Saccharomyces cerevisiae S288C: one gene and its partners. The protein of the gene in region 4 purifies or fractionates together with the protein of the main gene of each other region. This does not show direct contact. Each region holds a gene or a part of one and is shown on either strand. Other genes may lie near its edges. The genes, in order: TIF4631, SPB1, NOP53 and NOP13.

Region 1 (8,738 bases), on a different chromosome or scaffold from region 4:
CGGTCCTTTCCTTTCGTGGCCTCTGTAAAAAAAAGGACAAATGGTGAAGCAGTAGCATGATTAAATCGAAATATGAAGTTAAAGCCGTCAGCTAATAAATGATATAAATATACAAAACTATACATATGCTGAGTGGTCTATTATATAAAACATATCGTAAACGAAGACTGGCGAAGCTATAAATAAAAATACAGAAAGGCATTGACATATAGAACAAGATAGGAAAAAAAAGCACAGTAAGAGGATTACCCATTAAAATGCATCAAACTTGTTTATAGCTTTTAGTGAAAAGAAATGAGCCCATTAATCGAGAAAATATAACAATGGTAAATTAGGGACACTTTTTTTTTCTTCTCCATGCATATATTTTCAATTAATAGCGCAGGATTAAACGTAAGATTAAATTTGTGTTGTACTATTAATTTATTATTTTATTAGACTTTCTACCAACATCCTTGTATCCAAGTGACATTTTCGATACTTAACATGATCTATTCATGTTACTCTTCGTCATCACTTTCTCCCATTAATGCACTGAACATATTTGTTGCGGTAGAAGTTGGTGCAGCTGGTTCTTCCTTTGGAGGAGGAGCCCTTTGGCTATTTCTTTGAGAATATGTTCTGGTTGTGATAAAGCTATCTTTTGATGCAGGAGGAGCGTCCCTTCTGAAAGAGTGTCTATTACTGGAGTTGTTCGTACGTCTTGAATTAGATCTTGAATTATTCTTCAATTGACGTTGTCTCTCCTCTTCCTCATGAATCTGTTGAATGGTCTTAGGACCGTTGTCCTTCTTATCACTGTTCCAGTTCTTGTCGTGCCTTAATTCTTTAATGTCGATCAACTTGAACTTGATTCTACTAGAAATCTTAGCAGTTTGAATAATATTGTCTAAAATACCGAACAAACTATCGAGCAATTGCGAACCCTCCAATGTTGCTTGACCCGTTCTGAAACTATCGGTCTCAAATTGTTCACCAACAGTATTTAACAATTCAACAACGGACTCTAGAGTTTCTTCAGATGGAGAATCCGTCAAATCCTTCATTAGTCTACGGAAACATTCGAACATCATCTTTCCAGTCAACAGATTCAGACGGTATAGGAAACCGATGAAACGAACCAAACCTAAACCTCTTCTCTTAGCAGAAGCAGCTGCATAGTACTCTTCTGACATCATCTCAGGTTCTAATGGAGTACCATCTTCGTTTGTGGGTAATTTATCGGTCCAACCCTTGTCAAATTCGGCATGACATCTAGCAACCAAGTAATGCAAAACCAATTTTGGACCTGTCTTACCTTCATTAGTTTCATCTGTTATATCTGGGTTTAATTCTTTAACTACTTTACCACATAATTGCGCGTACATAGAAGACCAATGGGGTTCGTCACAGGCCTTTAAGAAAATCTGTTCTATCACAGCCTTTAACGTTTCACCATTTGTTTCCCATACTGATATGTTTGCAATAGCCAAAATTTCAGATGAAATAGCATCGAACATTTCCAAAGTAAGTTTATTCAGTAGTGACTTCATCTTTCTTTCAACTTCATCCTTGTCCAATAGTTCGGTCTTTCCGTCAGGGGCTAGCTTCTTTTCAGTCTTTTTAGACTTGAATTTTGGCACCCACCTATTAGCACTTGGAACAAGTGGAGCAACTTCTTCCTTTGGTTTATCGTCCTCTCTTTTCTCTTCATTTCTGTAGGAGCCTCTCTCGCGGTCTCTTCTTGATGTATAAGATCTATTAGATCTCCTGTCGTCATTCATTCTCTTTGATCTTCTCTTTGATGAAGTTCTTGAATTAGCTCTGTCATCCATATTTCTCACTGAGGTATTTCTAAAGTCATGGCCACGACTAGAATTATTGCCGAATCTGCCAGAATCTCTAGATCTATTTCCTCTGCCCATTCCTGGTGGAATGACAATTTTAGAAGCAGTGCTTTGGACCCATTCGGCGTCCGCTTTGACGTTTAGTTTGTCCTTAAATTGAAGCAAGAAAGTTGGGCCATATGTATATTTGACGTGTTCTTTCTTGTATTTGATATCAGGACCTTCAATACCTTCTGGATAGTTAAAAGAAAAGACATCTTCAATTGGTGTAGCATCTTTCAATACATTCAATATGTGAGAAACGGTGTTTGTACCATCATCAGTTTCATCAGTTGTAGTTTCGATTTCAGCTTCAAGTCCAATCTTTGTTCCAGCATCACCTGCTTCAGCCTCAACTTCAGCTTCAGCTTCATCAGATTTAGTAGGGATAGCCGGAGTTGTTGCAGATTCATCAATGTTTGACTGTTCGGTTTCGGCGACCTCAGTTTCTTCTTTAACCTGTTCACTGGGAGGCACAGGAGCAGACTCGATGGCGCTCTTAGTCTCTTCCTGTACTGGCACTTCCTTGTTTTCCTTCCCCTCCGTTTTTTCTTCTCGTTCTTTTTGTTGTTTCTTCAACTTCAAACGTTCAGCAAAGGTTAACACCTTTGGAGTGGATTCTTCCTTTATTTGGCCCTTTTCTCCTTGTTCACCTTCTTCAGCTGGAGTTTCTTGCTTAACTTCTGGCTCAGCAGATTTTTCTTCAGCAGGCTTGGTTTTTTCGGTTACCTCAGGTTTGTCCGATCCCTTCTCTTCCACATTTTCTGGGGTAGTCTTCATTGGAATATTATTGTTGCCACTAGAACCTTCAAGTTGCTCCTTTCTCTTCTTTTCTAAAGCAGCTTTACGAAGTTTAACTTGCTCGATGAAATTTCTTCTTGTCTTTTCAGCTTCAGATATATTTTCTTCAGAACTGGCCTTAGAGTCATTAGTGGAAGGGGTAGGAGTTGGAGTAGAAGTAGAAGTAGAATCAGAAGTTTCTTTTAACTTTGACTCTGGTTGCGGAGACACAGTAGATCTTTCCTGAGACTGTAGCTTGGCTTTATGCTGTTCTTTCAAATCTAAGTGTTCACCAGACTTGGTAGTGATTTCTATCTTAGTTGGAACAGGTGACTTCTCTTCGACAGGAATTGGATTAGCAGGGGCACTACCAGCGGCCGCCATTTGCTGGGGCTGGTAGTAAACGGGGTAGTTATTATAGTAACCAGTCCATGGCACGTTTGAGCTGTTGGCTCCCATGTGTCCACCTCTGAAACTACCGCCACCATTATAGTTGCCACGGTTGTTATATCTGTTTGGTCCAAATTTACCACCTCTTTGCTGATGAGGTCTGTTGCTGTTGTAAGGCTTCTTTTGGGTATAGTTGCTACCATTGTTGTAGTTGGTGTAGCCACGTTGTTGCTGAGATTCCTGCTGGTCATCGCCTGTCTGTTTCAGAGCAGCAGATTCCTGCTTTGAAGCAGATTGTGTCGGGTGAGCAGTTTCGTCTGTCATTATTGTAATAGGTAATTACAGTTGTCCTCTTACCTTGCTTATTTATGAGCAAGAAGGAGTAAAGTAAGAAGCTTTAAGAAATTGAAGGGAAGAGGAAGAATCATAATTAAGTAAATTATCACAATATCAAGATTGGTAAAATTTCAAGCAACATATTGAAATTCCATCTACCATCCATCCGTTGCACACAGAGAACGCGGCATCGAAAATTTTTCTTGAAAAAAAAACTTTTGTCAGTGAAACAGTACGAGAAAAAAAAAAAATAAAAAAAAAGCTATAATTGAAAAAGGACGCACAAAAATACGGTGAAAAAGAAAAAAAAAATCGTTTCTCACGTCGTTATCGAGTCGCGATGAGGATAGCGCCCATCATATGATCATCCCATTACGATGGAAGTCTGCCATCATGATGTCCAAGAGGGTCCTTAAAGCTATTAGTAAGTAAAAAAAAACTGTTGTTCCAGAGATATTGAAAAAAGCCTTATTAATGTAATCTTCAAAAAATGATTTCGCCCAGGATCGAACTGGGGACGTTCTGCGTGTTAAGCAGATGCCATAACCGACTAGACCACGAAACCACTCTTATTGGAAGATTGATCCAATTAAAGGGGAATAGGTCACATGAAACGACGACAACTATGCTGGTTATTACCTAGAGGGATAATTGCAAGCTAGATCTTGAAACGAACAGAGGAAAAAAGCTAAAGTAGTAACAACAACCAATATATGTATATATGAAGAGAATGTGGATTTTGTTGGAATAAAAATCCACTATCGTCTATCAACTAATAGTTATATTATCAATATATTATCATATACGGTGTTAAGATGATGACATAAGTTATGAGAAGCTGTCATCGAAGTTAGAGGAAGCTGAAGTGCAAGGATTGATAATGTAATAGGATAATGAAACATATAAAACGGAATGAGGAATAATCGTAATATTAGTATGTAGAAATATAGATTCCATTTTGAGGATTCCTATATCCTCGAGGAGAACTTCTAGTATATTCTGTATACCTAATATTATAGCCTTTATCAACAATGGAATCCCAACAATTATCTAATTACCCACATATATCTCATGGTAGCGCCTGTGCTTCGGTTACTTCTAAGGAAGTCCACACAAATCAAGATCCGTTAGACGTTTCAGCTTCCAAAATTCAAGAATATGATAAGGCTTCCACTAAGGCTAACTCTCAACAGACAACAACACCTGCTTCATCAGCTGTTCCAGAGAACCCCCATCATGCCTCTCCTCAACCTGCTTCAGTACCACCTCCACAGAATGGGCCGTACCCACAGCAGTGCATGATGACCCAAAACCAAGCCAATCCATCTGGTTGGTCATTTTACGGACACCCATCTATGATTCCGTATACACCTTATCAAATGTCGCCTATGTACTTTCCACCTGGGCCACAATCACAGTTTCCGCAGTATCCATCATCAGTTGGAACGCCTCTGAGCACTCCATCACCTGAGTCAGGTAATACATTTACTGATTCATCCTCAGCGGACTCTGATATGACATCCACTAAAAAATATGTCAGACCACCACCAATGTTAACCTCACCTAATGACTTTCCAAATTGGGTTAAAACATACATCAAATTTTTACAAAACTCGAATCTCGGTGGTATTATTCCGACAGTAAACGGAAAACCCGTACGTCAGATCACTGATGATGAACTCACCTTCTTGTATAACACTTTTCAAATATTTGCTCCCTCTCAATTCCTACCTACCTGGGTCAAAGACATCCTATCCGTTGATTATACGGATATCATGAAAATTCTTTCCAAAAGTATTGAAAAAATGCAATCTGATACCCAAGAGGCAAACGACATTGTGACCCTGGCAAATTTGCAATATAATGGCAGTACACCTGCAGATGCATTTGAAACAAAAGTCACAAACATTATCGACAGACTGAACAATAATGGCATTCATATCAATAACAAGGTCGCATGCCAATTAATTATGAGAGGTCTATCTGGCGAATATAAATTTTTACGCTACACACGTCATCGACATCTAAATATGACAGTCGCTGAACTGTTCTTAGATATCCATGCTATTTATGAAGAACAACAGGGATCGAGAAACAGCAAACCTAATTACAGGAGAAATCCGAGTGATGAGAAGAATGATTCTCGCAGCTATACGAATACAACCAAACCCAAAGTTATAGCTCGGAATCCTCAAAAAACAAATAATTCGAAATCGAAAACAGCCAGGGCTCACAATGTATCCACATCTAATAACTCTCCCAGCACGGACAACGATTCCATCAGTAAATCAACTACTGAACCGATTCAATTGAACAATAAGCACGACCTTCATCTTAGGCCAGAAACTTACTGAATCTACAGTAAATCATACTAATCATTCTGATGATGAACTCCCTGGACACCTCCTTCTCGATTCAGGAGCATCACGAACCCTTATAAGATCTGCTCATCACATACACTCAGCATCATCTAATCCTGACATAAACGTAGTTGATGCTCAAAAAAGAAATATACCAATTAACGCTATTGGTGACCTACAATTTCACTTCCAGGACAACACCAAAACATCAATAAAGGTATTGCACACTCCTAACATAGCCTATGACTTACTCAGTTTGAATGAATTGGCTGCAGTAGATATCACAGCATGCTTTACCAAAAACGTCTTAGAACGGTCTGACGGCACTGTACTTGCACCTATCGTGAAATATGGAGACTTTTACTGGGTATCTAAAAAGTACTTGCTTCCATCAAATATCTCCGTACCCACCATCAATAATGTCCATACAAGTGAAAGTACACGCAAATATCCTTATCCTTTCATTCATCGAATGCTTGCGCATGCCAATGCACAGACAATTCGATACTCACTTAAAAATAACACCATCACGTATTTTAACGAATCAGATGTCGACTGGTCTAGTGCTATTGACTATCAATGTCCTGATTGTTTAATCGGCAAAAGCACCAAACACAGACATATCAAAGGTTCACGACTAAAATACCAAAATTCATACGAACCCTTTCAATACCTACATACTGACATATTTGGTCCAGTTCACAACCTACCAAAAAGTGCACCATCCTATTTCATCTCATTTACTGATGAGACAACAAAATTCCGTTGGGTTTATCCATTACACGACCGTCGCGAGGACTCTATCCTCGATGTTTTTACTACGATACTAGCTTTTATTAAAAACCAGTTTCAGGCCAGTGTCTTAGTTATACAAATGGACCGTGGTTCTGAGTATACTAACAGAACTCTCCATAAATTCCTTGAAAAAAATGGTATAACTCCATGCTATACAACCACAGCGGATTCCCGAGCACATGGAGTCGCTGAACGGCTGAACCGTACCTTATTAGATGACTGCCGTACTCAACTGCAATGTAGTGGTTTACCGAACCATTTATGGTTCTCTGCAATCGAATTTTCTACTATTGTGAGAAATTCACTAGCTTCACCTAAAAGCAAAAAATCTGCAAGACAACATGCTGGCTTGGCAGGACTTGATATCAGTACTTTGTTACCTTTCGGTCAACCTGTTATCGTCAATGATCACAACCCTAACTCCAAAATACATCCTCGTGGCATCCCAGGCTACGCTCTACATCCGTCTCGAAACTCTTATGGATATATCATCTATCTTCCATCCTTAAAGAAGACAGTAGATACAACTAACTATGTTATTCTTCAGGGCAAGGAATCCAGATTAGATCAATTCAATTACGACGCACTCACTTTCGATGAAGACTTAAACCGTTTAACTGCTTCATATCATTCGTTCATTGCGTCAAATGAGATCCAAGAATCCAATGATCTTAACATAGAATCTGACCATGACTTCCAATCCGACATTGAACTACATCCTGAGCAACCGAGAAATGTCCTTTCAAAAGCTGTGAGTCCAACCGATTCCACACCTCCGTCAACTCATACTGAAGATTCGAAACGTGTTTCTAAAACCAATATTCGCGCACCCAGAGAAGTTGACCCCAACATATCTGAATCTAATATTCTTCCATCAAAGAAGAGATCTAGCACCCCCCAAATTTCCAATATCGAGAGTACCGGTTCGGGTGGTATGCATAAATTAAATGTTCCTTTACTTGCTCCCATGTCCCAATCTAACACACATGAGTCGTCGTACGCCAGTAAATCTAAAGATTTCAGACACTCAGACTCGTACAGTGACAATGAGACTAATCATACAAACGTACCAATATCCAGTACGGGTGGTACCAATAATAAAACTGTTCCGCAGACAAGCGAACAGGAGACTGAGAAAAGGATTATACACCGTTCACCTTCGATCGATACTTCCTCATCAGAAAGTAATTCACTACACCACGTCGTTCCTATCAAAACGTCAGATACCTGTCCTAAGGAGAATACAGAGGAATCTATAATTGCTGATCTTCCACTTCCCGATCTGCCTCCAGAACCTCCTACCGAATTATCAGACTCCTTTAAAGAACTTCCACCGATCAATTCTCGTCAAACTAATTCCAGTTTGGGTGGTATTGGTGACTCTAATGCCTATACTACTATCAACAGTAAGAAAAGATCATTAGAAGATAATGAAACTGAAATTAAGGTATCACGAGACACATGGAATACTAAGAATATGCGTAGTTTAGAACCTCCGAGATCGAAGAAACGAATTCACCTGATTGCAGCTGTAAAAGCAGTAAAATCAATCAAACCAATACGGACAACCTTAAGATACGATGAGGCAATCACCTATAATAAAGATATTAAAGAAAAGGAAAAATATATCGAAGCATACCACAAAGAAGTCAACCAACTATTGAAAATGAATACTTGGGACACTGACAAATATTATGACAGAAAAGAAATAGACCCTAAAAGAGTAATAAATTCAATGTTTATCTTCAACAGGAAACGTGACGGTACTCATAAAGCTAGATTTGTTGCAAGAGGTGATATTCAGCATCCTGACACTTACGACTCAGGCATGCAATCCAATACCGTACATCACTATGCATTAATGACATCCCTGTCACTTGCATTAGACAATAACTACTATATTACACAATTAGACATATCTTCGGCATATTTGTATGCAGACATCAAAGAAGAATTATACATAAGACCTCCACCACATTTAGGAATGAATGATAAGTTGATACGTTTGAAGAAATCACTTTATGGATTGAAACAAAGTGGAGCGAACTGGTACGAAACTATCAAATCATACCTGATAAAACAGTGTGGTATGGAAGAAGTTCGTGGATGGTCATGCGTATTTAAGAATAGTCAAGTAACAATTTGCTTATTCGTTGATGATATGATATTGTTCAGCAAGGACTTAAATTCGAATAAAAGAATTATAGCAAAA
Region 2 (8,499 bases), on a different chromosome or scaffold from region 4:
ACATTTGCAAATTCTGCAAATGCCTGAAAAGTTCGTCACTTTCCAAGATAGACTATGTAATGGTAAAGAACATTTCCTACCAACTTTCAATACTGAACCTTTGCAAGATGCTAAAGTCTCGTTCGCTCATTTTGTCTTGCCAATGCCGGAGTCTGAAGAAACTGTTGATGAAGACCTATTAGCTATGTGTTACATCTCCATATTGCAAAGAGCTTTGACCTTTTTCCAGGACTGGTTGAACGAAAATCCAGAACTAAAGAAATCCTACAATCTTATGTTAACCAAGGAATGGATCTGTGTCGTTCCACGCTCGAAGGCCTTTTCTGATGAAATGAAGATAGGTTTCAACTCCACAGGTTATTGTGGTATGATCTTAACCAAAAATGATGAAGTTTTCTCCAAGATTACTGAAAAACCTGAATTGATTAACGATATCTTATTGGAATGTGGTTTCCCAAACACTTCTGGTCAAAAACCAAACGAATACAACTATTGAGTCCTTCACAAGTACAAGTATACACGTATACATGTATGTATATATATGTATTTAAATGATAGAAGTAATTTCTATATGTATATGTCTATTCAATTTTTATTTCTGATGACTTTGAAATTTTATATTTATTATTCTACACTTTATTATTAAAACTACATGCAATCAATGCCGTTAAGGTTACGATTCACCTTTTTATTACTTATTATTAATATTGTTGTATTACTTCCTTGAAAAAATATGTCTAAAGAGTCCTAATTTGGATTTTCTTTTCCTCCTAACTTCACTGTCCTGCGCCTGCTTTCCTAACGCATCATCGCTAATACACCAGCTTTCATTGCTTGTTGCTGCGCTGTTGCTCGCATGGAACGTTTTCAGTGCGTCATCATCCTGGGATAAACTAAAGACTAAGTCACCAGTTTCATTTGAGGCTTTTCTCTGCGCGTTGACAAAAGAGGACAGATCAACCATATCACCTGGTTCACCCATGAGAATGTCCTTACTTAGTTGCGAATTGGTTCTGATCTGCCCTTCAGACTTGGAATATTCATTACTGTCATTACTTTTAAGCCTATTCATTTCTTCCTTGCCATCAGGCGTACAGGATTTGACCACAGAGTGTTGAAGGGGTGCATCGTCCGCTCTCGTAATAACCCCTCCGATACTATTTTCATTGTTGACACCGTTGACTGAAAAGGGCATGGACTGTGCATTAATGTTTTCATTTTTCATCATATCATCATATGGCATTTCATAATGTTGACTCTTGTAGTTGAAGATTGAGTTTATCGTGTTACTGTTTCGTCTACCTTTCATATTATCAATCAGGTTGCGGTGTTGCATGTGGGAGATAGGACTGCCCGATCTTCTTCTTCTCGATTCTCCACTAAAATCCTGTCTTTTATCGCTATCCAGCACACGATTAAGCTGTGAATTGCCGCACTTTTTAGGATAACCATCCTTGGCATATCTAGGGTTATCTTTTAGTGGAAAATTATCACTTTCTAAGTTAATGTCCGCATTGCTGTCATAAAAGGATACTGGTGTTGCGGGAGTAGATGCTAGTTTAGAAGGGGTATAGGCCAGGGAAGAAGGTGTCATTGCCTGATTGATTGTCATTGAAGCAGCCGACCTTTGTTCTTTTGGAGATTGCGAGTCACAGCCTACGGTCAAAGGTAGCTGCTTCGTATAATGATAATATCTTTGCTTTTGGCCTTTGATCTTCAACGAATTGAATGTGTTGGAATTCCGTGCATTGGCGTTTTGCATCCCATGGTTGTGATGGGTCGGTGACCCATTGAGAGCTGAATCATCTACATCAATGGCCTGTTCAGATACACAAAGGGAAGGCCGCAGTGGGGATAATAGTGCTGTTGGAAGCTTTTGCTCATAATATTCATTTTTCGATTCTGGTTCAATTAAGGAGTCCTCTTCTTCTTTAATCATAGAGTTAGAACCGGCTGCACAATTGCCCTTATCTACCATAACCTCCAAATCAGGAGGAGCGGATTCAGATCTTCTATGTGATTTAAATGACCTAGGCCTTGTCTTCAACGCATCGTCAAGGTTAATAATGGCATCTGGGACGCCTTTAACTGGCGATGAAAAACTTGGCTCTTCACTAATGAAAAATCGTGGACTTGGTGTTTGCAGATTGTTCTTTGGTGATAACGGATAAAATCTTGGTTCAGGCAAATCTAACGTTCCAGCGTCTTCATTGGTTTTGCAAGGAAATCTATTGTAGCGTATTGGCGATAATGTACTTGATACAGCAGTTGGGGCAGTTGAAGGACAATTTTCAGCCGCCTGTGGAGGTGGTAAATTCACAATTGCTGCAGGCTGTTTCAAAAAATCAAAATCTCCTGATATTGCTAGCGATCTGCGATGGCGGTGACCTCTTTTGGATGGTGTAGACAAAGTATTTACAGGATTTGGCTCTGATATTTGCACATGTTGAGTATGCGTATTGGGCATTTTCCTATTCTGAGAAGGAGTATGAAATAATTGCCGAGGGTTCAGAATGCTCTTTTAGAAATAAAAATGAATGTAAATAGTTGGAATGTATCTTTAAGTAGACAAATGCAGGTAAGTTTTAGTGGCCTTTGCGGATTAACAGTATGCTCTTAGTGCAAAACACGAAAAGAGCTCCCAATCTTTGAACACAATCGACCACGGAGGAACAATACACGTAGAAGGGGATAACTAAAACTTTGTCGTGCAAGAGTATTGGAGGACACACTAACAGCAGAACTTTGCCTTCTTAACTCTTGTTTATGATTGCTTGAAGTATTACACATGTAATAAAAGATGATTATTTTTTTTTTCCTAAAAAAAGTTCCTTTCTTTGAAGATCCCCCTGATAAAAAAGATCAAATAATGGAAACGCTAATCATAATCAAATCGGGAGGAGAATAAACGCAAGAAGTGTGCGTTTCTAGCTGAGTAATGGTGACAAGACATAGAGTGACTGTACTCTACAATGCCCCTGAGGATATCGGTAATCATATGCGCCAAAATGACACTCATTTGACTGTTCGTGGAGGTTCTGGTGTGGTTTTACAACAAAGGTGGCTATTAGAGAGGACTGGAAGCTTGGATAAATCCTTTACGAGAATCACTTGGAGGCCCAGAGCGGACTTGGCTAGAAGTTTAAGCGTTATAGAAAATGAACTGAGTGCTGGCTTTTCAGTTTACTCAAATTCTTCGGATGTGCCGGAAAGGTTTATTACTAACCCAGTCTACAATTCATTTCACAGTGAGAAGTTTGACATAGAGCAGTACTTGCCTCCCGAAGTAGATTTGAATCTGTCATGGAATCCAGAAGATTTTACATATGATATATCAGTGGAGCCCACACAAATCCAAATTGTTGAATATCGTCTGTTGAAACAGGGTGAAGAATTTACAATTGCAAGAGTGAAAGATGAGAAACTCGAAGTAGGTGTATTCTTTGTGGATGCAAGTGATGAAAGTGATGTCGATATTGGTGGAATACGTTGTAATTGGAGGATGGACGATGGTAAAATGGAAAGATGTCAGAAAACATCCTTATTGTATAAACAGGGCCATATCGCATACAATCACTCGACGACTACGACATCACTATATCTGAATGAACCTATCGGTTTGCATCCAAAAATCATGATTGATCTCACAGATTTCGAAGAACGCCCTAAATGCATGTATCTAATGCACCTGCAATTGCCGTTAGAATTATTTATCGATAAATTCCAATCCTCTCCCTTACTACTTTTTGGAGAAGACGACTTAGAATTACCAGAATACTCTCTTCGAGATAAGGCATGGGGTTCTGAAAGTATCTTTGAATTGAAAGCCGGCACAATGAATGAAGTGACATTGCATACTAGATATATTGAGCCTTCTAATAATAAAGGGGATAAATTAGAAGTTTCATTTGATCCAGAAGTTATATTAGCCTGCGACACAGGTGACAATAAAGTTTCCCGTAATCCATTTTATAAAAAAGGTCTAGGATATGAATCTCTCTTTACAGACGATACTACATTCCGCCATTTGAACTCGACAACTCTTCTAGTACCAATTCCAAGGCCTGACACAAAGGATTATTCCAAGATCAAAAATGGTACGTTACTATGCTTACTCATCTCCATCATATACATTTTCTCCAAGGTATTTGGTAACAACAAGAAGAAAAGATCAGTAAAACGGGAATAAAAATTGTTCTACTGTGCACTCGTATTTTCTGAATTCAAAACGATAGGTTTCCTATAAGTTTTTTGATGATAATTTGATTAATTCTATGTATACATAATATATCTATTGCTTTCTTTTCCTTTATTTTCAATATTATACAAGGGAATGGAAAAATAATGCTCTTTGTTACTACTTTTTCTTGTGATGCTTCTTTGCGATACGTCTTAGGGCTCTTTGTTCATTCTTCATGACACCATCAACCATCTTATACTTACCCTTAACGCCCTTTGGTCTACCTGCCAAACCTTTGTTCCTACCTGAGGCAACAACCAAAGTAACCTTTGGCTTGGTCTTTGGTTTTTTGGTAACCTTACGCATCAATCTAGAAATTTCTTCAGCCTTGTCCTTCTCTGTCTTGTCTGAATCATCGTTAATCAAGCCCGCCTTCTTCTTGATCTTTTCTAACCGAGCTACGGCACGCATCCTCTTTCTTGCCTTAGCTTCAGCAACCTTCTTAATAGGACGGGCGTTCATTGCCTTTATTTTTTCTTTAATTGCCATCGCTGCCTCCTTAGTAATCGGCTTATTTATCTTTGAATGTTCCTTTTCATCTTCTAAAAACCAATCTGGCAAATTTTCGGTGTCACGGAAGGTGTATCTATTGAAACCTTCATCAACAAGATCATGCTTGTTTTTCTGACCCAATGCTAACTGATGTGCCAAAGTCATGGCTTCAACAGTAGCAATATCAATGTCTCTGGAATGCTTTTCTTTCTTTGTTTGATTTTTTTCTTCCTCTGAATCATAATCAGAATCGAATTCTTCTGATGCATTATCGTTGGCCACAATTTCGAAATCGGAGTCATCACTTGAACTCTCATCCGAAGAATCTGCTTCATCTTGTTTCTGGTGCATTTCTTCATGTTTTCTTTTCTTATTTAATTTAGAAATATCACCAACAGACTCGGAACTCATTATGCCATCATTGACGGTATTTACTGGCAAATCAGGTTCAACGTTATTAAATATCGGATCATTGAAAATCATACGTGCCTTACTACTCAATTTGTGATCACCTTCTTGTCCCTTCAATTTGCTAATCAAATTGGTGATGGCTTCATCATCATCGGAGTCTCCTTCGACACCTTCATCGTCATTGTCTTCGATATAATCTTTACCTTCCTCTTCTTTCTTTTCTAGACTTCCCTCATTAAAACCGGTCCATTCTTCCTCATTATCGCCACCACGTGCTTGCTTAGCTCTAAACTTGGCATCCCTTTCCGACCTTCTAGTTTTATAATCACTATACATGGCATTCAACTCGCTTTCTAAATCGTCCGCATCAGCGGCAGAATCCTTATCTTTGATCATGATGTTTTCATCAATGTAAATATCATTATCTTTGGCTAATTCATCGTCTGTAAAAATCATTCTTTTCTTACCCTTCGCCAAGTCGTTCAAGATACCAGTCTTTTCTGCAGTTTTCAAATTAAACAACGATTCTTTACCCAAACTTGCGGCTTCAATACCAATATCAGTGGGGGTTATCATGTTCATTTGCATTCTCTGTAGTTCCTTTTGCTTCATTTCGTTCTTCCTTCTTCTTTCGCGCTTGACATTTAGACGCTGCTTCTCCTGTAAACCTTGCAAATCTTTTTCAATTTGCTCCTCTTCTGTTAACGGTACTACTTCAATTTCTGTTTTAGCGTCGTCCTTAACTTCGATGCCCAAGATTTCCCTTGCAATCTTTCTCCATCTTAGGATCATTTTAAAATCCTTTTTACCCAAGACTTTTAAATCTTCAATACAGGAACGGAACTCGTCTGTGGTTTGTTTCAATTTCTTCAAGATCTTCCATTCATGGTCATTCTCATCAATTGTAAACTTATTCATTTCTCCAAGCATGCTTATTGGGTCTTCCGTCCTGACAAAATCCAAAATTGAGGTTTCATGATACAGTAAATTATCACCTTCCTCATAACCTTGTCTTTTTCTAACTTTTTTTTCGGGATTATAAATCTTGGACTCCATATTCTGTTGCCCATCTGGCAATTCTTCAAAAACTTCTTTTGGATCCAGTAATCTTGGGTCCAGCCTCTTTGGTGCCTTGAAACCTTTACACACTACAAAAATTTCTGCAGAAACATTTCTTGATGCGGGTGGTTTTGTGGCTTCAACTTTCTCAAACAATTGTTGGAAAACCCAAATCAATTTATTATAATCCTTGGATCTGAAAATTTTAGTAACAAAAGTACCGTTCACCACCAAATTTTCGACGGCCAACTTCAAAGCTTGTAAGGTTAATTGAGATTGGGTGAAAGCATCCTGAACCCAACCCAAACCAACATTAGGAGCACCATCATGCAACACTGTATCAGCTTTCCAAGTCTTCATATAACCCCTCAATTTTGATCTACAATCTTCTGTTGTAATATCACTTTGAAAAGTTATAACATTGGGCATCGGCTTCATTGGAACAATATCAACACCAATAATTAAGGAGTTGACAGGACAGAGTTTGGATGCAACTTGACACCATGAACCAGGAGCAGCACACAGATCAATAACAACCTTCGATTTTTCTAAGAAGTGGCCATACTTTTCATTAATCTGAATAATCTTAAAGGATGAACGAGCACGATAACCTTTCTCCTTTGCTAGATAATAGTATCTATCTAAACGTCCCTTACTATTCTTCTTTTGTGTCTTACCCATTTTTGCCAATCACCTCTATTGAGTTAAATCTAACTACAAACTGAAGCAGAATGAGTATTGAAAGAATCTAAACTTAAACTAACTACTATACTATTATTGCCAATTTTTCATAATGGGCATCGCAAAAAATTTTTCAGACAAAAAGAAACAAGCTGGGTAACCCGCTTTTGCGGTTTTAGTATACTGGAGGAGATTAAAATTAGACAAAAGAATAATAACGTAAGGTGAAAAATGTTTAAACTCAATAGTGTGAGGTTTACGTGGCTATATATACGCAATATATACACTTTAATCCAAATTATCCCTCCCACCTGCTTGCTACTCTTTTGAGATTTATCTTAACGAGCTAAACAGACAGACTTCGGAAGTTCAAGCTGTCCAGAACTCCTTTATAGAGCCAAAAAAAGTAATGCTTTCGATTATTTCTGGTTCTAGAAATTTTTCAATACCCTTTAGTAGTCTTCTTTGCGCCGGATTGCTGGACAAATAGAATTTCTTCTTGACTTAACTATAAAAACAAAAATCTTCTGTCGTATCATAGCTACATGCTGTAGTTTTCGATTAAATACATGCTGCAGTTTTCGATTAAATGCTAATTTTTGTATCCAATATATAGCTATTCATCAATTGAAATATTCATTTTATAAGTAAGATTGAAAAAAAAAAAGAAAACCACAAAGAGGAGCAGAAACGTGGCAATCTAAAGAAAAAAAAGCACCATCTTGCAAACACTAGCACATTTGATAATCATAGAGAACAAAAATAATTCAAAGGTGTGCTTGTAAGTCTTTAAACGCGCCTTTTTCTTTATTTGTCGAGAATCGTGTAAATTTCCCAATACAGTAATTACACGATCCACGCTGTCCCAAAAAAGTTCAAAAAATTTTTCGTGCTTTTCCTTTATTGAAAATCATTTAGTCCAGTTTCATTCTGTGTTCTGTGTTTCTTCGACTTTGAGATTTCTATTGAAGTAGTTATTTATTTACAAAATTTATTGTATTTACACTTATTATAAATTTTCTGTCATCTCGACTTAGTACACCTGGCGCTGGTTGTTATTGGCAATATAATAGACAATATTATCTCATCAATACAACAAATTAAACTCCAGAAGTCACATAAAGTATACAATTAGTCTTGAAGCATCTGATTTTGAAATCTTTTTGGTATCAATTAACGTGCCGGAATACTGTTTGCACGAAGGAATCAAAGATAGGTACTGTGTGCGTCAACAGAACTTAAGCACTAGTGATTTATATTAAAAAAACCAAACAATTAGAACAATTAATTAACAGTGACTTTGAAATTCAGAACTATATTTACGTCGTCTGCAATTAGAATTAAAAGGAAATCAAAAATTCAGATACAAAGTTCATGGCATCTGCTTTGACATATTTGTTATAATTGTGTAAAAGGGCACAGTCAATGAGTAGTAGATAGTAAAGCCTAAATAATTATATGTAGCAATTGCTTCTCTTGAAATTGGGTATCATGGGTGAAAAATTATTGTGCATTTATAGCAAACCTATTAAACAGATCAATGTTTTAGTGAAAATTATGTCACTGGACAATACAAATCTTTGGAAACCGTCCCTAGAATTTGGAATTGGATAATT
Region 3 (6,297 bases), on a different chromosome or scaffold from region 4:
TCTATCAAAAGTCAGATCTCTTATGACCGCTTGAACCTGTGGAATGTATATAAGCAGTTTTGATGTTAAGATTTTTTTTTCAATAGAATTTCTTCCTTCGGAAATAATCCCGATTAAGAAATTATTCTTGACGCAATATTCAGCTATATGTTGATCGGGCTTAACCGCATAAGTTTCGTTACCCTTTTTTACCCCAATTTTTAATTTCGGCGGTTATTTTCAGCCCTTTTAGAGTCAAGATATATAAGAATGCTTCTCTAAGAAGTGAGACTAACAATGAAACCCGTTTCAGACAATCTGGAAGTCTTAGAACGCATAACACAGAAATGTCAACAACATTAGCAGCACCAGCGAAACTAAAGAGTTTGCTCCTGAATCTACATACTCACTGTATTGGGCTACACGTTAACGATGTCACACCTAAAGTATATTTCAAGTTATTGATACGGCATCTTCTACAGATATCTAGATCAAACGCTGCTCATCCTAAGCTAAGAAGAAGGGCCCAGATTTTATTGGTATCGCTTTTCCTATCTGGTGTCACACTTTTTTCTGGTGTAACATATAGTACTTTCAAAATTATTCTAAAATGTTATAAATTTTACAAGTTTCCATGGAAGAGAAGGAATAGGAGACCTTTAATAAGAAGAACAAGATCTCAAATGCAATTAGACAGTGGTGCAAGAATAATGTATATTCCTGAAGTGGAATTAGTCGACCGCCAGAGTCCCGATGACAACAAATTTATGAATGCTACAGATAAAAAAAAAAGGAAAAGGATATTTATTCCACCAAAGGATAACGATGTATATGAACACGATAAGTTTCTTTTTAAAAATGTAGAACTGGAAAGAGCCAAGAATTCGCAGTTATTCTACTCAAAATTTTTAAACCAAATGAACGTCTTGTCTAAAATTTTAATTCCAACAGTTTTTGACAAAAACTTTCTTCTTTTAACTGCTCAAATTTTTTTCCTGGTGATGAGAACTTGGCTCTCTTTGTTTGTAGCCAAGCTGGATGGACAAATAGTCAAAAATATAATTGCTGGTAGAGGAAGAAGCTTTCTGTGGGACTTAGGGTGTTGGTTTTTAATTGCTGTCCCTGCTTCTTATACTAATAGTGCTATTAAGCTACTTCAAAGGAAGTTGAGTTTAAACTTTAGGGTAAATTTGACACGTTACATCCATGACATGTATTTGGATAAAAGACTAACATTTTACAAATTAATTTTTGATGCAAAGGCGTCCAATTCGGTAATCAAGAATATCGACAACTCCATTACTAATGATGTTGCAAAATTTTGCGATGCGACATGCTCCGTTTTTGCAAACATTGCAAAGCCAGTTATTGATTTAATATTCTTTTCGGTTTATTTACGTGATAATTTGGGAACTGTGGGAGTAGCAGGTATATTTGTTAATTATTTCATTACTGGGTTTATTTTGAGGAAATACACGCCACCATTAGGTAAATTGGCAGGCGAGAGATCTGCTTCAGACGGCGATTACTACAATTATCATCTAAACATGATAAATAATAGCGAAGAGATCGCATTTTACCAAGGAACAGCAGTGGAAAGGACGAAAGTTAAAGAGTTGTATGATGTGCTGATGGAAAAAATGCTGCTGGTTGATAAAGTCAAGTTTGGTTACAATATGTTGGAAGACTATGTTTTAAAATATACATGGTCCGGTTTGGGTTATGTTTTTGCCTCAATCCCTATCGTTATGTCTACCTTAGCGACAGGCATCAATTCAGAGGAAAAAAATATGAAGGAATTTATAGTCAACAAAAGGTTGATGTTGTCGCTTGCAGATGCAGGCTCGAGATTGATGCATTCGATAAAGGACATCTCACAATTGACCGGCTACACTAATAGGATATTTACTCTGCTTTCCGTCTTACACAGGGTTCACTCTCTGAACTTTAATTACGGCGCTGTTCCTTCAATCCTGTCAATACGTACAGAAGACGCTTCCAGAAATTCCAACTTATTACCCACCACGGATAATTCGCAAGATGCTATTCGTGGTACTATTCAACGCAATTTTAACGGTATTCGGTTAGAAAATATAGACGTAATCATTCCATCAGTAAGGGCGAGCGAAGGCATAAAGCTGATTAACAAGCTTACATTTCAAATTCCTTTGCATATTGACCCAATAACTTCAAAGTCCAATTCTATACAAGACTTATCGAAGGCAAATGATATAAAGTTACCATTTTTGCAGGGTTCTGGCTCCAGCCTGTTAATATTAGGGCCAAATGGTTGCGGTAAAAGTTCAATTCAACGCATTATAGCTGAAATATGGCCAGTGTATAACAAAAATGGATTATTGTCGATTCCTTCAGAAAATAATATTTTTTTTATTCCTCAGAAACCATATTTTAGTAGAGGTGGAACTTTAAGAGACCAAATTATATACCCCATGTCCTCGGATGAATTCTTTGATAGGGGGTTTAGAGATAAGGAGCTAGTACAGATATTAGTCGAAGTGAAACTAGATTATCTTTTAAAAAGAGGCGTTGGCTTAACTTACCTAGATGCCATTGCCGATTGGAAGGACTTATTAAGTGGTGGTGAAAAGCAAAGAGTAAATTTTGCTAGAATCATGTTTCATAAACCACTATACGTAGTATTAGATGAGGCTACAAACGCAATTAGTGTTGACATGGAAGACTATCTGTTCAATCTTTTAAAACGATACAGATTCAATTTCATTTCCATATCACAAAGACCCACATTAATCAAATATCATGAAATGTTACTAGAGATCGGTGAAAATCGAGATGGCAAATGGCAATTACAGGCAGTTGGTACCGATGAAGCAATCACGTCGATTGACAACGAGATTGAGGAATTGGAGAGAAAACTAGAAAGAGTAAAAGGTTGGGAAGATGAGAGGACGAAGCTACGGGAAAAGCTTGAAATTATTTGAAAACACCCTAGAAAGGGAGAGATTTTATTTAGCGAATATAATTTATATATTATTTCCGTAACTGAATTTGTACTTTTGAATGTTTAACTGATATCTAGAGATATCGACATGGGAATGCCCTCTCAAACTAGAAAAGGGCAGAGAACGAAAAGAAAATGAAACAATTTGTTACCTACTATACAGTTGTTGGTCTTGCCAACACAAATATGAACATATATATATATATCTCACTTGATGAATCCACGTATCAAGGACAACCTTTTCATGGAAACATATACTGTAAAACAAAAAACTCTATTTGAAGTCCTTATGTGTCCACTTTTCAGTGATTTTCTGCTTATACTTTCTACCTTTCCTAACGGGCACTCTTGTTTCGACCTTACCAGAACTTTGTAGTTTTCTCACAGTATCATATAGCAGATTTCCTTCAGGTTTCAGTTTTCTCAATGAGTCAGATAATTCGTCAGAAAATTTAATCTCCAATCTTTCATCAATCACAGAGTATTTCGTCCCTAACTTGTGTTTCTTATTTTTCTTGCTTTTTTTAACCTTGTTGCTATCTGACTCTATGGCTGAAAGTATCTCAGTCTCTTCAGAATTGATAACTTCTTCTAAATCTTTAACACGTTGTCTCAATTCTTTCAACTCTTGTTGCAATTTTACTTTCTCTTCATGTCTCTTTGCCTTGTTTCTTTGATATTTTGTTTTCTTTTTATTCTTCACAGGCTTATTTATTGATAGTTTTATTTCCTTATCAGATCCACTACATTGCGTACTTTCATTTTCATTTTCATTTTCTTCTTCTTCTTCTTCTTCTTCTTCGTTTGATGAAGACTCTTCCTCTTCATTGTCATCTAAAGTTTCCATTAAATGTCTAATTCTTTCTTTGTACTTTTCCAAGGCGATTCTTTCATCTTCTCTTGCCTTTTCCTCTTTATACTCTTTGTTTATCAATTCTGACCAAGCTTTATTGTTGGGATTGTAGGATTTACCAGCATGTGGAATTTCTGTGAATTCTTTTACTGCAATTGGCTCTATATCTAAAGTACTTGGTCTGACTGAAGCAGTAGACCAACTTGTCGTGGATTTTTTCAATAGTTCTTCAGGTATCTGGTCCTTTTTTTCCACATCAAGTTTGATACCGGAAGGTAATTTGACCTTCTGTTTCTTTGAATTGGATTCTTCACCCCATAAGTCGCCAGCCGTTGTTTTAACTAGACCGTCTTTGGCAACTCTATTCTTGATCTTCGATTCGCCGTGTACTCTGCCAGCCAAAGCCATTAATTTCTTTAATTCGTGTTTAGAAACACCTTGAATCTTATTAGGATTTCCACTACTATTCTTATGGTGATTTAGTGCTGCAATTTTTGAATTCGTTTTAACGGCGTCTAAAATCTCTTTACTTTTTAGAACCTTCTTAATTTGTTTCCTTTTAATTAATTTATTTTTCAATATCTCATCACCCTCAACATCAACATGAAAAAGAGCATCATTTTGCAAAGAGGTTATATCACTGGTACCATGCGTAATTTCATGATCAATTTTCTTTTCCATATATTGTTCTACGTCAGATAAATCGATATTTTTTCTCCATGCTTTCTTACCCTTTCTTGAAGACTGTTTGTATTGAGATGGTTTCTTGGTTAGATTAGTTGGAGCCATTTTTAAATAAATGATTCATTAACGTGAGGATGGTATGGATCACAAGAAAGCCGAACTAATAGCATAAGTTGTAATGTAAGGACCCCATCGCATTTTTATTGCTCTTTTCTTTTTTAGAAGTGAAAAAGCTCGGGCACGGAAAATTTTTTGATGGAATTATAGAATTTCGTCAAATATGACTGTATTCTCTCAGAGCACACCTGTTAGGTAATACGCAATATTATGATAATATTACTTTAGTACTTGGCGTTAGCCTCTTGTGTTTCATTGTTATGGAGTGATAAAACAGGCCTATGGTTCGATAAGCGTACAGATTTTGGGATATACCATAAACTTTGTATAGAAAGTGTTGTATAAGTGCATATACTCCATCGATTATGTGGTTCTACAAAATTGACATAAGAAAATTAGAGAGTTATAAAAAAGACAAAAGTGAGGATATCAACAGAGAAGATAAAATATAGTAATAGGTTGTAAATAATAACAAAACTTGCATGAAAACTTGGTAAACTTCAAATTTTAACCTTCGTATGATGATTAAAAAGGATATGACATCATGAGAAAAAAATGAGCGATCTGTCTATCAATAATTAAAGGAAGAAGTAGAAATAGATAAAGGTTTTTTCTGCTTCATCTTTAACAGCAATATAGCATATTCTTGTGGTTCGAAAGAATAAATTCTAGTCATTATAGTGAAAAGAGAACAAAACAATATAAGATTTAGGGGATGGTAAAAATGATTTCTTAGTTCCTCTAATGATTTCATATCCTTTCCTGTCACATGAAGAGAAAAAGGAAGGAAAAAGAAGAAAAGATAGATAATATATTAGTGCAACGGTAACAAGTTGTTACTTTATCGTTCTCCTTACAAAACAATTTCCTTTTCTTCGTCCCACAACTCTCTTTGGAATCTCCAATGAATGGATGAAAGATCCTCCTTCCTGTCTTCTTTGTCACCCACCAAAGTACCACTTGGAGCATTCTTCGTTGATAAATTTAGAGCAGAGGCGAGTTTTAAGAAAGTGTCATCCTTTTCAGGTACAAGGGCGCCTTCTTCGGGCGTGACAGAGTAGTCAAAATCTTTGAACCATCTTCTTTGCCAGCTAATGCCTTTAGCTTCTTCCTCTTTTCTCAATTCTCTTTGCGTTTCTTCCAATTCAGTTTTCGTTTTGGCAATTAAGTTAAAATCGCCTAATTTGATGGCACCAGCCACGTCGTACCAGGCTTTTCTACTTTCCAGTGGGTGTTGCTCCTCCAAAGGCTTGACATTCAGATGTTCAGCAGGGATTCTAGCAGCATCGTAAAATAATCGTGATTCTTCTTTCTTATTTGCCTTGATTATTTTAGAAGAGCCAGACCATTGGCCTGATATTGTGTATAATGCCTTTTCCTTGTCCTTGCTATCTTTAGAGTCTTTGTAAATTCTTGCCTTGAATGAATTCTTTTTACCAGAAAAGTAGCCTCTACCTGAAAATTCAATAACACAAAGTAGACCTGTCGAAGATTGGATATATGATTTTCCTTCCAATTCAACAAAGGGAGAAGCGACAAGAATACCTTCAATATGCAATGGAGGTGGGGTAACCAAATAACTCTCATCCTTAATATCCAACATAGTGTGACCAAATTGTTTAACAGTCAGCATTAAGGATTTAGTGAAACTGGCTTTAATTTGGTTGTAGCCTTGCAGCTTAAC
Region 4 (7,435 bases):
CACTGATTATCGATAAGCAATATTCTAGCTCACTTTGTCACCGTGAATTTGTCAGCAAGCACCAAAAATGTCGATGCTTTCAATGACTATTACGTATCTTCTCTACTTTTGTGCAAATGTAAATACTAAATGAAAGCCCTATTTTGTGTAGGGTTTACACCGCACAAAGTAAAAAGAAGCGATAAAAATGAAAAAAAGTAGTCAAAATACATACTATCAAAGTAAGGGCATTGGTGAAATACTGCGAGGCTGGCCTTTTCCGCAAATATCTGGGGCAGCGAAGCGAAGGGGCCCGATAGGAACTTTTGGGGCGGGAGCCCTTGCATTGACATGGTTAAGGTTTTACATCCATCATTCTCCCCCTCTCTTGTGGTTTAAAAAAATAAAAGGTGGCCGATTTTTATGTAATATAGAAACGACTTCTGTCCTTCTGTCCTCTGTATTACCTAATTTTCTTTCTCTTGATGGTATTTAACTTTCTAAGCATTATAAGATAATATTAAAGGGAAAGTGTTTCTAGAATGCAATCGAGCTTACCTCAATTTACGTTCAAATGGCCCAAAGGACCCGAAGCAATTATTCTGACAGGCACGTTCGACGACTGGAAAGGTACTTTGCCGATGGTGAAGGACCCCAGTGGCGCCTTCGAAATAACGCTGCCAGTAACGTTTGATAGCCCTAGCAGCAAGTTTTATTTCAAGTTTATTGTTGATGGCCAATGGCTGCCAAGCAAAGACTACAAGGTGAACATCGACGAGGGAGTGGAAAACAACTTTATTACCGAGGAAGACGTAATAAAGCAACGCGAAAATGGCTCTAGCACGCTGGTACCTGAAAGTGCCGGATTAGCTGTTTCAAAGAATGCCCCTCTTATCGAACCAGAAGCTGAAAAACGTGCAAAAAAATTAAGAAAGTTCAAGATCAAGAGAGTGATCAAGACAAATAAACAAACCGGAGAAAGGTCGATATTTTCCCAAGAAGTGGTTGAATTGCCCGATAGCGAGGATGAAACCCAGCAGGTGAACAAAACGGGCAAGAATGCGGATGGCTTAAGCGGTACTACAACGATAATTGAGAATAATGTTGGTGTAAACGAGGAAAAAGCAATCAAGCCGTATGAAGAGAATCACCCCAAAGTTAATCTAGTTAAGAGTGAAGGATATGTTACGGACGGTTTGGGTAAGACGCAATCTTCTGAGTCTAGATTATATGAACTATCGGCCGAAGATCTTGAAAAGGAAGAAGAGGAAGAGGACGAAGATAAAGGCGGCGGTAAGGACACCAGTACAAGTGCAGACGCTGAAGCTTCAGAAGATCAAAATAAGGAACCATTAAGTAAATCCGCTAAATTTGAAAAACCGGAAGAAAAAGTACCTGTAAGCTCAATTACAAGCCATGCTAAAGAGACTTCTGTGAAACCAACCGGCAAGGTTGCGACTGAGACTCAAACTTACGAGACGAAACAGGGCGCTCCTACCGCTGCCGCAAAAAAAATCGAAGCTAAGAAAGCTACTAGACCTTCGAAACCTAAGGGCACGAAAGAAACACCAAATAAAGGTGTCCAAAAGAACCCTGCTAAGAATGGAGGGTTCTTTAAAAAGTTGGCCCAGCTTTTGAAGTGAAAACAATCAGGAGAATACCTAAATATATGACGTACTCGCCATACCTAACTATGTAAAACCTAATTATGTATTAATAACAATACCATGTTGTATGTAAACTCTGATGTAGGATCGCACTTTTGCCGAAAGCACATGCTTGTCTTTGTATTTCGCTTGTACGCCTTTGCTCAGAAAATTCTGTAGGAGTCACGTTTCCCGTTGAAATGCAAAAACCTGAAATTTTTCAGTCTGAAAGAAAAAATTGCGATGAGCATAGATGATAAATTTAACCATACAACAAAGAGAAATCCTTTTCCCCACAGAACATTACCTAAACCCAACAACTTTCTATAATTTGAGATAGAATGTCAGAAACAGAACTGTCGAAAGAAGATGCTGTTACAAAAAAGGATAACGAGGAACAAGTCAAGAAGGCTTTACTCGATCCAACAAAAAAGAGAAAAGCTGAAGATGAAATTGAGATTGACCTGAAAAGCTCCATTCCCCTATCAAAAAAACAGAAACGTCTCTTGAGAAGAGGTAAAGTTACTCTAGAGGAGTTGAATGCGAAGTACAATATCGACCCTAAGTCAATCGAGGAATACAAAGAAGATGCTGAAAAGAAAAAGTCTGGTGCTTCTGAGAAAGACGCCCAGGGTGAAGAATCTACAATCAACACTCCAACAGGAGATGAATCTGGCGAGGTTGTAAAAAAGAAGAAGAAAGATGAAAATAAATATGGTGTTTGGATTGGTAACTTATCCTTCGACACCACAAAGGACGATTTAGTAAGATTTTTTATTGCTAAAACAAAAGACAACGAAGATGAAAAGAGCAGAGTCACCGAACAAGACATAACCAGGTTATCCATGCCTCGTGTTGCTGCCAAGAACTCTAACGCCATGAAAAATAAGGGATTTTGCTACATGTTTTTCAAGAACGTCGAGCAGATGAAAGCGGTCTTAGAATTATCTGAATCTCATTTAAACGGAAGGAATATGCTAATCAAGGACTCCGAAAATTATTCAGGTAGGCCAGACAAGGACGATTTAGTTGCCATGTCCAAAAATCCACCGTCAAGGATTCTATTTGTCGGTAATTTGTCATTCGATGTCACAGATGATCTGTTAAGAAAACACTTCCAACATTGTGGTGATATCGTGAAAATCCGCATGGCAACATTCGAAGATAGTGGTAAATGTAAAGGATTCGCATTTATCGACTTCAAGAATGAAGAAGGATCTACTAATGCATTAAAGGATAAAAGTTGTAGAAAAATTGCCGGAAGGCCATTGCGAATGGAATACGGTGAAGATAGAAGTAAAAGACAAGTTCGTAAGAAGGTTGAAAATGTATCCAGAAACAATTCCTCATCATTTGATATCTCTAACAACAAAGGATACGATCGTGCGGGACAGGATAACGGCAGCAAACCCGAATACAAGCGGTCCAACGCCAACAGACGTCCACCTGTAGATTCCAATAACCGAACTAAGAGCAGTGTAGCTTTAGCCACTGCTCAGAGAGGTTCTGCAGCTATTGTCCCATCACAAGGTAAGAAAGTGAAGTTTGACTAATCAGCGTGAACTGACTGTAGGTGCCACGTATATAATGCGATTATTTCGCTTGTAAATTATTCAATCATTCATGTTTTATATATACATTGTATAACCAATTGCTGCTATTTTTATTTTTTCCATTATTGCTTATCAAGGCACGGGGAGAACGCACGGAAAAAAAAAAAAAAAAGAAGAAAGAAATGAGGTAAACAAGATCTTTAGGAGCGGTTCGCATATTAGTAATACACTGATAATCGCCGTACACTCATAAAATCCTAAACTACTCACCAGGTACCGAAACACTACTGATCCGTTTTTTGGACTGGTTGTTGGCACACTTTCGCTTAAGACACACATTTAGTATTTCAATCCCCATCCGTCGATATCTGAAGGAAATCTAAAAGAAAAGCTGGATAGAGTAATTATTTTGGCCATCGTATGAACTCCAATAGTACCATCGGAAGGACCACCCTTGGAGAATCTGATACGATATCCCTGTCATTCAGTGAACCAAGTAGCAGTCTGAATTCACGATCAACGGATGTTGTCTTCGCATCTACTTCAACTTTAGTACCCCAACAAGGAAGTCTGACCTCATTACCGCCCGTGTCTAGTACAGCTACTCCTACATATTATTCTACAAGCTTAACATATGATGAGACTTTGCATACATCCATTGATGTATCTTCGACAAGTACTTTAGTATCATCTACCGACAGCAGTTCATCGAGCGAGCAAGATACGTATAGTTCCCAATATGACCCAGCTACCTCCTCATACTCAATAATTACACCATCCATGTCCATTTTCTCATCGACGTCACCAATGTCATCATCGTCGTCAATAACGTCGGAATGGTCATCGTTAACATCAACAACACCAACGTTATCGTCATCAGCTACATCGCTGTCATCATCATGGTCGTCGTTATCATCACCATCTTCGTTACTGGTATCGTCCTCGTTGTCATTATCACTATCTTCATCATATTCAGACACTAAATTGTTTTCGTTCGACAGCAGATCTTCTATTTTCTCACCATCAACACCCACCGTAATATCCCCTAGTTACACATACTTGTCTTCCATATCTGCAACTTCATTTCAAATTAGTACCACTTCAGAACTCTCTTCTAGTTGGTTCTCAACAATTTCTTCTCCTTCTACGATATCAAATAAAGATACCACATTCCCAAGTTCCAGTCGGAATACTTCCACATCGTTTTACAGTTCATCGCTTTCATCGACGAACGATTTTTCAACCATAAGCAAATCATCGAAACTCAGTCCATCAGCTTCATCTTCGACAGTTTCCATAAGCACGATTTCCGTGCCAACGTCAAGTTCTGTTAGCTCATCCAGCAGTAAAGTACCTTCAAACCGTCCTTCATCATCATCATCATCAGATGATACAACAAGTGCTTACTCAAGCACGTATACTTTTCAGTCCTTACAATCTACTACTAGCAGCAGTATACCACCCACCACTCAAACACCCAGCACTAGTACGATTTCTACGTCTCCCATACCAACATCCAGTCAGGTCTTCAATACGGTAGCCATTTCAAGCTCCGAAGATTCAAAAACTATTTATTATTTCTATACCCAAACATATGATATTACTGACTCCTCTACAACGTTCGTGACGGGATTACCTACGACCATAGCAGTTGCAAAAAGTGAGGTAACCTCATTTTCCGCTCCATCTTCGACGATCACAGCTGACATGTCTTTCTATCAGCACTGGCTTGATGGCAGTTTGGATAATAACAAAAACCAAGGCACTTCAAAGACAAATACTGGTACCATTGTTGGAAGTGTGGTAGGAAGCGTCGGTGGTATTCTTATATGTGTACTAGTAGTTTGGTTCATGCTGGTTAGAAAAAGGAAGGCAAAGAGGCATTTCAAGGAAAACGATTCCTTCTGTCACGAGATTGGGCGCAGAACGGGATTCCCAACAACTGCCCAAGCAAAAGAGGCGTCACTTCAAGCTCAAGACTCGGGATCACAGCAACGAAACACCGAGACTGCTTCTGCTAATAATCCGTTCAGCAACGAATTCAATTTTAAGGCAAGAGGAAATCCTCCTCCAGTGCCACCACCAAGGAATGTTACCGCAATGAATGGCTCCTTTCAAAATATGCGGAGTAATTTCATGGACCAGGAAAACAGATTTTCCTATGGCTCTTCATTTACATATTCGTCATTGGGTTCATCTACTCAAGGTGGCTTTTCTACTTTATCTTCAAATTCGATACGACTCGGACGTGGTTTAGATAATGACATCTCTCATGATGAGAGAAATACAGTTCAGAACAATTCACAAGGGTTCTTGAGGGAAATTATATGACGATGACTTCAGTCTATTAGTATGATGTTTACTAATTAAGCAAAATCAGCTCTTGCTGAATAACACTACTATTAAAAATCATAAAAACATCTTTATTGCCAATAGTGAAGAACGACAAGGCCTTTTAAAAGGCATAAAAAACAATGATACCATTCTGCAATGAAAAAAAAAGAAAACTTTGTTCTTTGTGTATAAAGAAAATATTTTAGTTCTCCTAAATAAATAAATACTAAATTATACGAAACTCTTTCAGTCTTTTCTCCTGCTTGCTGCTTGAACAGTACTCATGATATTCTATTAATCTTCTGTGGGCGGGGTAACTAAGCCTTCACTGTACTCGGGATTTTGAATAAAAGTCAACTATCCAATCTGGAAGGCATTTTAACATACGCCATTAGGAGCCGCATAGCAAGTCAGAGAACCTCACCTCACCCTATCTTTTTTATTAAAGAAAATGAACTTCCACACGGCAAGAATATCTCAGGTCGGTGTCATTTCTAGGGCTCTACTTTCTTCTGTAAGTAGACGTTGGATTCATGTAACGCCAATAAGTCTTAATAATTCAGGAGGATCACTATTCGGAAGCATTACAGAAAATAAACCAAAGGAAGGAAAAAACAGGGGGGATGAAGATGCAGGCAGCTTCTCTAATAGGTTAGCGATTGCTTCTGATTCTTCTGGAGAGGCTCCTGAAGTTAATAGGGATTCAATAACCATAGAAAACGATAAACTACTACAGCAACATATCATATCGTTGCAGCAACCGGAACAATTAGCATCACAGAGCTTATTATCTCCTTTGAAAAGGGAAATATATGAAGCTAATTGTAAAATTAATGGTGGGTTTTACAAGAAAGATACTATTGTAAAGTTACCAAATTCTAGCGAACGTTACAAGCTAAAGTTAACAAAAAGAGAAATTGAAGTACTAGAACCTTCCGTATATGCTCAGTCATATAGAATTAAATCGTCGATGAAAAAGGCTACACTTTTGTTGAGGTTATTGGGAGGCCTCGACGTTATGAAAGCTATATCTCAGTGTCACTTTTCTAATAAGAAAATTGCTCGCGAAGTAGCAGAACTACTTCAAAAAGGTGTAAAAGATGGCCAAAAATTAGGTTTGAAACCAGAGGACTTATATATCTCTCAGATTTGGACAGGGAGTGACGGGTTTTGGAGAAAACGTGTTGAATTCAAGGCAAGGACAAGAATCGGAATCATAAGTCATCCTTACATACATGTCAGATGTATTCTGAGAACAAAGAGTGTTACGAAACGAAGACTTGCTTATGAAGCACATTTAAAAGAGCAAAAAAGAGCGCCATGGGTACAGTTGGGAGATAAGCCCATTAGGGGTGTTACAGGCGGCGTATACAAGTGGTGAAAACGATAGCGAACTCATTCATATCCGAGAAATCGTCCTGTAAGCTGAGAAAGATGAACTGCTACTCACTTCTTAACCTATATTCACAGTTGTGTTGTACAAAACTTTTCTTTTGATTATATAATATTGTGATTCTGTAAATAACAACTAGTTTCAACGCACTGCTTCAACGTGCACCCTCCTGACTAAACACGGCAATATGCAAGAAACCGCAACAATTAAGTGCACTAGAATAGAAGAAATTATTGTACTTATAGTTTATTTATGTATTTAATAATTAAATCTAAGCTTCAACTGGTTCAGCTTGAGCTTCAGTTTCTTCAGCTGGTCTGTAGTCCTTGACAGATGGAGCAAGAATTGGTTCTTCTTCTTTTGGTTCAATGATGGTGACAGCATCTGGCAAAGCCTTTGGACCAGTTCTGCTCTTAGCTGGGTCTCTCATAATCTTAACCTTGATACCCAAAACACCTTGTCTCATCAAGACGTGTCTAGTAGCAGTGTCAATGAAGTCGTTGACTGGTTGACCAGAGTGAATCAAGAAA

The links.
Region 1: the proteins of NOP13 (region 4) and TIF4631 purify together in Saccharomyces cerevisiae (affinity purification with mass spectrometry; 2 studies listed by BioGRID). This does not show direct contact.
Region 2: the proteins of NOP13 (region 4) and SPB1 purify together in Saccharomyces cerevisiae (affinity purification with mass spectrometry, with the first as the bait; 2 studies listed by BioGRID). This does not show direct contact.
Region 3: the proteins of NOP13 (region 4) and NOP53 purify together in Saccharomyces cerevisiae (affinity purification with mass spectrometry; 2 studies listed by BioGRID). This does not show direct contact.

What each region holds. Positions count from the first base shown.
Region 1 is NC_001139.9:818,680-827,417, reverse strand, and holds TIF4631 (translation initiation factor eIF4G), read right to left. Parts: upstream 3,360-8,738; coding exon 501-3,359; downstream 1-500. Other genes in the region: YGR161C-C (gag protein), read left to right, coding at 4,403-5,725. UniProt on the Saccharomyces cerevisiae protein: Component of the eIF4F complex, which interacts with the mRNA cap structure and serves as an initial point of assembly for the translation apparatus.
Region 2 is NC_001135.5:29,833-38,331, reverse strand, and holds SPB1 (27S pre-rRNA (guanosine2922-2'-O)-methyltransferase), read right to left. Parts: upstream 6,884-8,499; coding exon 4,358-6,883; downstream 1-4,357. Other genes in the region: APA1 (bifunctional AP-4-A phosphorylase/ADP sulfurylase), read left to right, coding at 1-496; LRE1 (Lre1p), read right to left, coding at 716-2,467; PBN1 (Pbn1p), read left to right, coding at 2,939-4,189; RDT1 (Rdt1p), read right to left, coding at 7,336-7,422. UniProt on the Saccharomyces cerevisiae protein: Required for proper assembly of pre-ribosomal particles during the biogenesis of the 60S ribosomal subunit. Specifically methylates the guanosine in position 2922 of the 25S rRNA at the stage of 27S pre-rRNA maturation.
Region 3 is NC_001148.4:272,929-279,225, forward strand, and holds NOP53 (Nop53p), read right to left. Parts: upstream 4,602-6,297; coding exon 3,234-4,601; downstream 1-3,233. Other genes in the region: ATP-binding cassette long-chain fatty acid transporter PXA1, read left to right, coding at 327-2,939; oxysterol-binding protein KES1, read right to left, coding at 5,467-6,297. UniProt on the Saccharomyces cerevisiae protein: Late-acting factor in the nuclear maturation of 60S ribosomal subunits, which is required for normal acquisition of export competence. Required for the export of the large subunit.
Region 4 is NC_001146.8:303,144-310,578, reverse strand, and holds NOP13 (Nop13p), read left to right. Parts: upstream 1-1,966; coding exon 1,967-3,178; downstream 3,179-7,435. Other genes in the region: MDG1 (Mdg1p), read left to right, coding at 522-1,622; TDA7 (Tda7p), read left to right, coding at 3,599-5,509; mitochondrial 54S ribosomal protein uL22m MRPL22, read left to right, coding at 5,964-6,893; 40S ribosomal protein uS3 RPS3, read right to left, coding at 7,177-7,435.